Notamacropus eugenii: one gene and its partner. The protein of the gene in region 2 interacts with the protein of the main gene of each other region in a biochemical or structural test. Links are inferred from orthologs where the notes say so. Each region holds a gene or a part of one and is shown on either strand. Other genes may lie near its edges.

The links.
Region 1: the proteins of CREBBP (region 2) and TDG form a complex in vitro, tested with the Homo sapiens proteins (2 studies listed by BioGRID, with this or other methods). The link is inferred for Notamacropus eugenii from reciprocal best matches to the Homo sapiens genes CREBBP and TDG.

Annotation. Positions count from the first base shown.
Region 1 is NC_092874.1:286,697,359-286,701,105, forward strand, and holds the start of TDG (G/T mismatch-specific thymine DNA glycosylase), read left to right. Parts: upstream 1-812; 5' UTR 813-1,043; coding exon 1,044-1,066; intron 1,067-1,448; exon of another isoform or gene 1,449-1,519; intron 1,520-3,747. UniProt on the Homo sapiens protein: DNA glycosylase that plays a key role in active DNA demethylation: specifically recognizes and binds 5-formylcytosine (5fC) and 5-carboxylcytosine (5caC) in the context of CpG sites and mediates their excision through base-excision repair (BER) to install an unmethylated cytosine.
Region 2 is NC_092872.1:58,235,861-58,239,607, forward strand, and holds the start of CREBBP (CREB-binding protein), read right to left. Parts: upstream 2,590-3,747; 5' UTR 2,475-2,589; coding exon 2,390-2,474; intron 1-2,389. UniProt on the Homo sapiens protein: Acetylates histones, giving a specific tag for transcriptional activation. Mediates acetylation of histone H3 at 'Lys-18' and 'Lys-27' (H3K18ac and H3K27ac, respectively).

The DNA of each region.
Region 1 (3,747 bases), on a different chromosome or scaffold from region 2:
CTTAGGCTGGTAGGACCTGTTCTGGATGCCACGCCTATTACAACTCCTCCATACCTTTCAGGTATCACTGACTGTTACATTCATTAACAAGTTTAAAAAGATGATTTAGCCTTTCTGGGCCACAGTTTCCTCAACTGTAAAATGACCCTCTTGGATTAGATATCCTCCTTAACCCTTTCAGCTCTCTGTTCCTATAAATCACCTTTCGGGGGCCTCAGTTTCTTCCCTTGTAATGAACACAGTATATAGTGATTTGTACGATTTACAAACACTACCTCATTCTATCTTCATAATCCTGAAAGGCAGGTGCTATTTTCATCTCCATTTTACAAATGAGTAATCCCAGGCAGACAAAGATTTCGAGACTCGCCCAGTCACTCGGTTATTAAGCGTCAGAAGCCGGTTTTGAATGCAGCGTTCATTACACCGTCCTATCTAACACTATATAAACTGTAATAATTATTTTTAATTTGGCATTGGTAAATTAGAGCTTTCGCTTTAATGCTGTGGATTATTTGACTGCATGATCCCAGTTAGCACCTCCAAATACTCGTGTTTTCAGCCGGCGTAGTCCTCGCTAAACTAGGATCCTCCCACCCTGGCTCGGAGCAAACAGGTCCAGCGCACAAATGCTGAGAGAGGGCTGACGTCACGCCCATCTTCCCTCCTTCCCCCCCCTTCCTTTTTTCTCCATCCCGAAAGCCCTTGAGGCAAAGCTAATGGGCCGGCCATCCCAGAGCGAAGCCGATTGGCCAGCTCCTCGCACCACGTGTCACGCCAACCGCTAGCGGATTGGCTGCCGGGTGCCGGAAGGAAGGAGTGGAGAGTTTGACGGGAGCGGAGGGGAGCGGCGAAGGGGAGGGGGGCGGGGCGTTCTCGTGGGCTGTGTAGAAGCTCTGGGTTGTGGTCTGATCCTGTTGCCCGCTTCCATCCCATCCATCCATCTATTTGTCCGTCCCCGGGTGACACGGCGCCCTCCGGCTCGGCAGATCAGCAGCTCGTGGGTTAAGAGAGGGAACCGCCGGCTGGAAGGGCGGCGGGGAATGGAAGCCGAGGACCTGAGCAGGTACGTGTCGGGGCTTGGGCGAGGGGAGGTCTGCTGCCCCCCAGCCTACAGCCCGTCCTCCCTTCACTGTCCCCCCCCTCCACCTCCCCCAGTGGGCGCATGCGCAGGGCCCGGTCTTTAAATGCCCCGCATCCTGGTACAAAGGCGGAGGCGGCGCGCGTGCGCAGACACTTGGCCCTTCCCCCATGGTCCCCTCCCCCACAACCCCCCCAGCCCCGTTCTTTTTTTTTCTTTCGCCCTTTGACCAGCTTTTACTAAAGCACCTACTAGGTGTTAGCCTCCGCGTTAGGCGCGGGAGGATGCGGAGACGGAAGCCTTTCTCCTCCCCCTCTGCAGGTCCCCGGCCCGTGCCTCTAATCATTGCATGTTGTCTCCCCATTAGACTCCGAGCTCTTTGAGGGCAGGGAGGACTTTTGCGTTTCTTTGTGTCTCCAGCTCTTAGCGCAGTGCCCGGTACGTAGTTTTGTTTTTTTAATTAAATTTAAGCTTCCAAATTAAATTAAGCGTTTAAATTTAACTAAGTCTTAAAATGCTTACATTTTAATTGGAGGGAGCTCGGTGGCTCAGTGGGCCTGAGTCAGGAAGACAGATGCCAGCTGTGTGACCCTGGGCAAGTCAGCACCCTCTGTCTTCATAGGGCGGAGAAGGAAATGGCCAAGGAAATACCATGGACAGCGTGGCCGCAGGGTCCCCGGGAGCCCGCGAGCCAAAGCAAGAGGAGCTTTTAAACGGAAGTTTGTAAAATAGCAGCCTTCACCAAGTTGATTTCTTTCACACGGGGATGGTGACAGCACCCACTTTACTGGGTGTTGTAAAAACCCAGTGAGAGATCAAAGGATGGTTGTTCCAAAGGGCTTGGTGCTGCTTTAAGCTGCCGTTGTTTAAGGCCTCAATAGCTGAACTTTTGGAGCACCTTGAGTGAGAAGCGCTCTGCCAACTTTAAAGCCCAGCACTGACAGCTTTCACTGGTAGGGATAGAAGGGAGCTGTGATGTTATTGTGAGGGGGTTAGCCCTCAGCCTTCTCCAGAGGCTCCTTAGCAGCAATTCAAGAGGCCCCTGCAGGTTTCAGTGACTCCTCCTGGGGCAGGCCACCATCACGGTCTTGAGACTGAACTTAAACTCAACTCTGACTTGAAGGCAGAGCCTTTTCTCCTGTCAGAATTGTTGTGTTGGTGGCGGTAGGTGGTGTGTATGAGCAAATACGGGACAGCCCTAGTCTTTGTTGTTGTCTTTTGAGGCCCTTCCACCTCCTTGTGACCGTGTTTGGGGTTTTCCTAGAAAAGATACTGGAGTAGTGTGCCATTTCCTTCTCCAGCGCATTTCACAGATGAGGAAACTGAGGCAACAGGGTGAAGTGACTTGCTCAAGTCACACAGGTAGGAAGTGTTTGAGGCTGGATTTGAACTCAGGTCTTCCTGATTCCAGGCCCACATCCCCACCTAGCTGCCCCAACCCTGACCTAGATGCCTACAAAGCAATTGGGAGGGGTTATTAGGTGGGAGGGAGAGGTGCTAACCCCCTGTACTTTTGGTGTATTCTCGGATCCACTTGACGCTGGCCTCCTTTCAGTTTCCTGACGCTGTCTCTGGGCTCCTGGCATTTTCCCAGCTGTCCCCCTCATCTCTGCCTCCTGGCTTTTCTAGCTCCTGAAAATCCCAACCCAGAATCTTCACCTTCTGTAGGAAGCCATTCCCAAGCTCTCTTAATTCTAGTGCCTGTCCTCTGTAGATTATTAGCTGTTTATCCTTTTTATAGCTTGTGGATGCAGTCTTTAACTTCTTCTCTCCCCCATGAAATTATGAGCTCTAGCACACATAACGGGCGCTTAATAAATACTTACTGACTGATCAGGAGAGGGTTCAGCACTGGGTGTCCTGAAAGCTTATAATAGAGAAAATAGCATTAGGACTTGGGGGACACCACAAGTAGGAAATGGCCCTTAAACTGTGTCTTGAAGGGAAGGAGGACACTCCAGGCATGGGGCACAGCCTCTGCAAAGGCCCGGTGAGGAGAGTTGGCATGTTGGATCCAGGCCGTACTGTAGAGTGGGGAAGGGAGTGGTTTTTAGTTTTGAAGTGTCAGGCAAAGCAGTTTAAGCTAGTGTGGGAGGGGGTCAGTCTTCCTTCTGCTTTATGAATAGCTGCGGATCATTGCTTTCTGCAGTGTTGTTCCAGACAGGCAACGTGAAGGATATCAAAAGAGAAATCCAGTTCTGGAGCCACAAGGGACCTCATCTAGTCCAGTCCTCTCATTCTGTACTAGAGGAAACTAAGTCTCAGATACTTTGACTGACTTGCTTTGGTTTAATCCAGCACTGTTTCCCTTGACCCAGGCTGAAACAGCAAGATGAGTGTAGAAGGCAATAGTGAGGCGGGAAGCCCATTAAGAGTGAGGTGGTCTGAGTTCAAATCCGAGTTCTACTCTTTAATAGCAGTTTGCCCTTGACAAGGCACTTCTCCCTGACTGATCCATCATACCTGCAAACTGGGGATAATATACTTGCATTACTATGTTGTGAGGAAATGCTTGGCATACCTTAAAGCAACAGAAGTTTGAGTGTCTGCAGCAGACCCAGAAGTTCTGGGACGGTTGTATGGGGATCCTGTGCCAGGATTATTTGACAATAATAACATTCAGTCCTTTCCTAACGTGAGGGCTTTCCTTAGCCGTGTTGATGAGA
Region 2 (3,747 bases):
GTTATCTGCATTACCTAGTAATATAATTATTTATTAAGAGTTTTGATTTTTCGTTTTTCATCCTCAGAAACCAGAAAATCTCCCTCAATTGTTCCTAGAGTTGGGCATAAAAAGAAAGAAAAATTGACAAAAGTGAAAACCTTTTCCTAAGGAACTTTGCTGGGATTAGCAGTATGTAGCGGGAAATAGTTGGGGTGTCTATTTCTGAAAAACTCTTTATGGCAGCTGTATAACTAGTTTATGTCCCTTTATATAACAAAAGTCTAAAACAAACTAAAGTACTACTACTACTACCAAAGCAAAAATCTGCTATTAAGGTTACTCAGTTTGAGAGCACAAATTTCTAAAGTTGAGGTCCTTTGTTTTCTACTTAAAGAATTCATATTCATATGCCAAAATTAAAAGGAAAAGGGGTAAAGATTCTATCTTAAGAAAGTTCATCAAACAATTTCAAAGTCACCTACACTGTGCTTTGCTGAAAAGAAATGATTAAATTATGGTTTTCATATTTCTTAGGAAAAAACACAAAAAAAATTAAGATTTAGGATCAAAAATAAACTCCAAGTTAATCAACTAAAAATTTGTTAAATTTTTACTAGTGCCATTTCTCCCATTGGTTTATGTTTTTCATTTAACCGTTCAAGAACCTGTACAAAAGAGTATTTGTCATTTTTCAATACTAGTAATAGCAAATGTTACATGCCATTAAAAAAAACTGGCTGGAAGATGGGACACTATTTAAAAACAAAGCCAAGCTAAAGTTTCTGTTGCAAAGTATGCAGTTGTTTTCTTGTGTTACGTCAGATACAAGTGTTTTCACTGTTTCATTTCAGAGTGCACATCTACAGGCATTGCAGCAGCAACATAAGTCAATTTAGATTCATTCATTATAAAGTGATTTTCAGATGTTACCACCAGAGATGAAAAGGTTTCATTTGAGAAAGAATGTCCTTAAACTAGTAACTACAAGACGAATTTTTACAGTACAAAGAAAGATATTCAAAAAGAGGAAATATGAAGAGTTCTCAAAGCTGTAATAGGGAATAAGGTAATGAGCATTTAAAAAAAAACACAAAAATTAGTGACATGAAAAAAAAGTCTGCAGATGTTATTATCTAAAGAAGCCTTCAAAGAAGTTGTCCTAATGAATATAAGCATGGTTTTACAATAAGAGATATTCTGAATCACAATGAATTTTTCTATCAAATTCTAAGAATTTTTAAGTTTTAAAAGCAGATGACCACTTTGTTTTTAAAATAACCTAAATTAAGTTTAGTCAAAGGAGGAGCTTAATTTTTAATGGGACACTTGGCTTACATCCATTTAAAACTATCCCTGTTAGAAATATAAAATTAAATACATAGTAACTTTTATGAAATATTACTATTAAAGTTTCAGGTTTAGGAGAGTGGAAAGATTTGAGGGGATAGAGTTTCCAAAGTAACTTAATATTATATCCAGAAACAAGCTTGAATTTTGAAAGATTAAGTTATCATTATAGATTGCACCACATAAAAAGTTTCTGGATTTCAATACTTAAAAGTGTTATCACTATCAGTTAAAAACTATGATTGATGTTGTCGCTGTCTTGGAGATTCAGAAAATATTTCTAGTCACCAATCTTTCAGCCTGGATGTTTCTTTCCCTTACCAAGATGCAGTCCTGACACACACACACACACACACACACACGTTTCAACACTCCGCAGCAGATACACTCATCTGATATCACTACACAAAACAAACACACGGCACCTTACTTTTTTTTTTTCCTCCTTGGAAAAGTCATTTAGCATCGAGAGACTCGTGCAAGGTTGCACCCCAGCCTAGCAAATCAATCTGAATCGGAGTATCTTTTTCCACTGCCTTCCAATCGCACTTAACTCCCTTCCTTCAAACTTGGAAGAATTTATGTGATCAAGGTAAGGGGAGACGGAGGGTGAGGGAAGGTTTAGTGGGGAGATGGGAACAATTTTACGTGGAATCCCTTTGCAATGCCTAACTAGATAAAAAGAGGATCACTTCTCTTCGGAACCCACCACCTCGGCCATCGCTAACATCCCATTCATCTAGCTACGATCCCAAAGCCTTTCCAGGAAGAAAGCCCCCTCCCCCGTTCATCTGTGATCTGAAATGTCTACTCACCTTTGGAGTGGAAAGTGACAGGTAATTCAAAACAGGGTCCGCGGACACTAAGCCTACTAACCCTCACTGCGGGCTGGGCCTTCTCCCAGTTCCCCTGAAAGCTACGTTACATCTCGATCCTCTGAGGCTCCCAGGACACTTGGCTTCGATCAGATTCACTTCGGTCCCCTTCCCCGGCACTCCAACCCTTTATGTTTTCAACCATCTTCCTGCCCTCCCACCCCCAAAAGGCCCCCGGTCCTCACCTGTATTGTCACTGGCTGAGAACCCAGGCGAGTTGAGTTTGGCTCGTTTGGGGTTGGGCGGTCCGTCCAGCAAGTTCTCAGCCATTTTAGCCGGCTCTCGAAAACAGCCCCGCGGGTGGGGGTAGGAGCTGCGAAGGGTCCGGGGCAATCAGGAGACAATCCGGAGCGGGGGGTTGGGGAGGGTTCGGAGAGCTGCCCCGGCCGGGCCGGCACCGAGAGGGAGCGGGAGGGGGGGGGCTGTCCGAGCGTGTGTGAGTGAGTGTGAGATGGGGGGCCGGAGGGGGGGAGGGAGGCCAGTGAGGTGGGGGGCCGGCGGAGAAATCACAGCCACAGCAACAGCGCCCCGCAGCGCTCACCGCCCGCCCCCGGCCGCGGCCGCTGCCGCCGCTGCTGCTGCTGCTACCGGCCGCGGCTCCCTCATCCCCTCCCCGCCGCGGCGGCGGCGGCCCGGGACTCCCCCCCGCCCTCCCGAGCGCGACACTCCAAGGAGGGGGGGGCCGAGGCGGCCCAGCTGCCCCCCCGGGGCCCAGCTGGCAGCGACGGTGCCCGGCCGGGGCGGCTCAGTCAGTCCCGGGGAACATGGTGCCTCCCGCCCGCCTGCCTCCTCCTCCTCCTCCTCCTCCTCCTCTTCGTCCTCCTCCCTCCCCCCCTTCTCGCCCCACTTAATTAATTAATTCTCTCCCCGCCCGGTGGGAGGGGGGCTTCGGGGTTCGCTCCCCTACTCGGTTTGAGGAGCCGGAGCCGCCGCCGCCGCCGCCTTGAGGAAAAACAATGCGCGAAGCGGAGCCTCCGCCGCCGCCGCCGCCGCCGCCGCTGCTGCCCCCCCCACCCCCGTTCCGCCGCCGCCGCCGCCGCCGCGGCTCCGGGAAGCCGAGCCGAGAGCCGTGCGGGGCCGCCGGAGCTGGCGCCGAGGGCCGGGCGGAGCGGGCCGGGCGGGCGGAGTGGGGTGCGCGGGCGGTTGTGGGGCCCGGAACCGGCGGGGCCGAGTGGATCGCGCTCGAAGCCCCGATCGGGTCCGCGACAAGATGGCGGCTGTTGATTCCTCAATTAAAAAAAAAAAGAAAGTTTTTTTTCTTCTCTTTTCCAGAGCCTGAACGGGAGGGGGAGGGGGCGGGGCACGCTTATGCGTCACCACCACCGCCACCCCCCCCGCAGCGTCACCACGCACGGCCCCCGCCCCGCCCCCCTCCACCTGCACCCGGGAGCGGCCGGAAAGATACGAACGCGCCCAGGCGGAAAGGGCCGAGCGACCGGGCTGGAGTGCGTAGCGCTGCCGTGTTGTGGCGGACAGCGCCGCCCGTGGGCCGAAGGAGGGACGTGAAGGGCCGTGGGCGTTTGCGAGATCGCTTTTCCTCCGC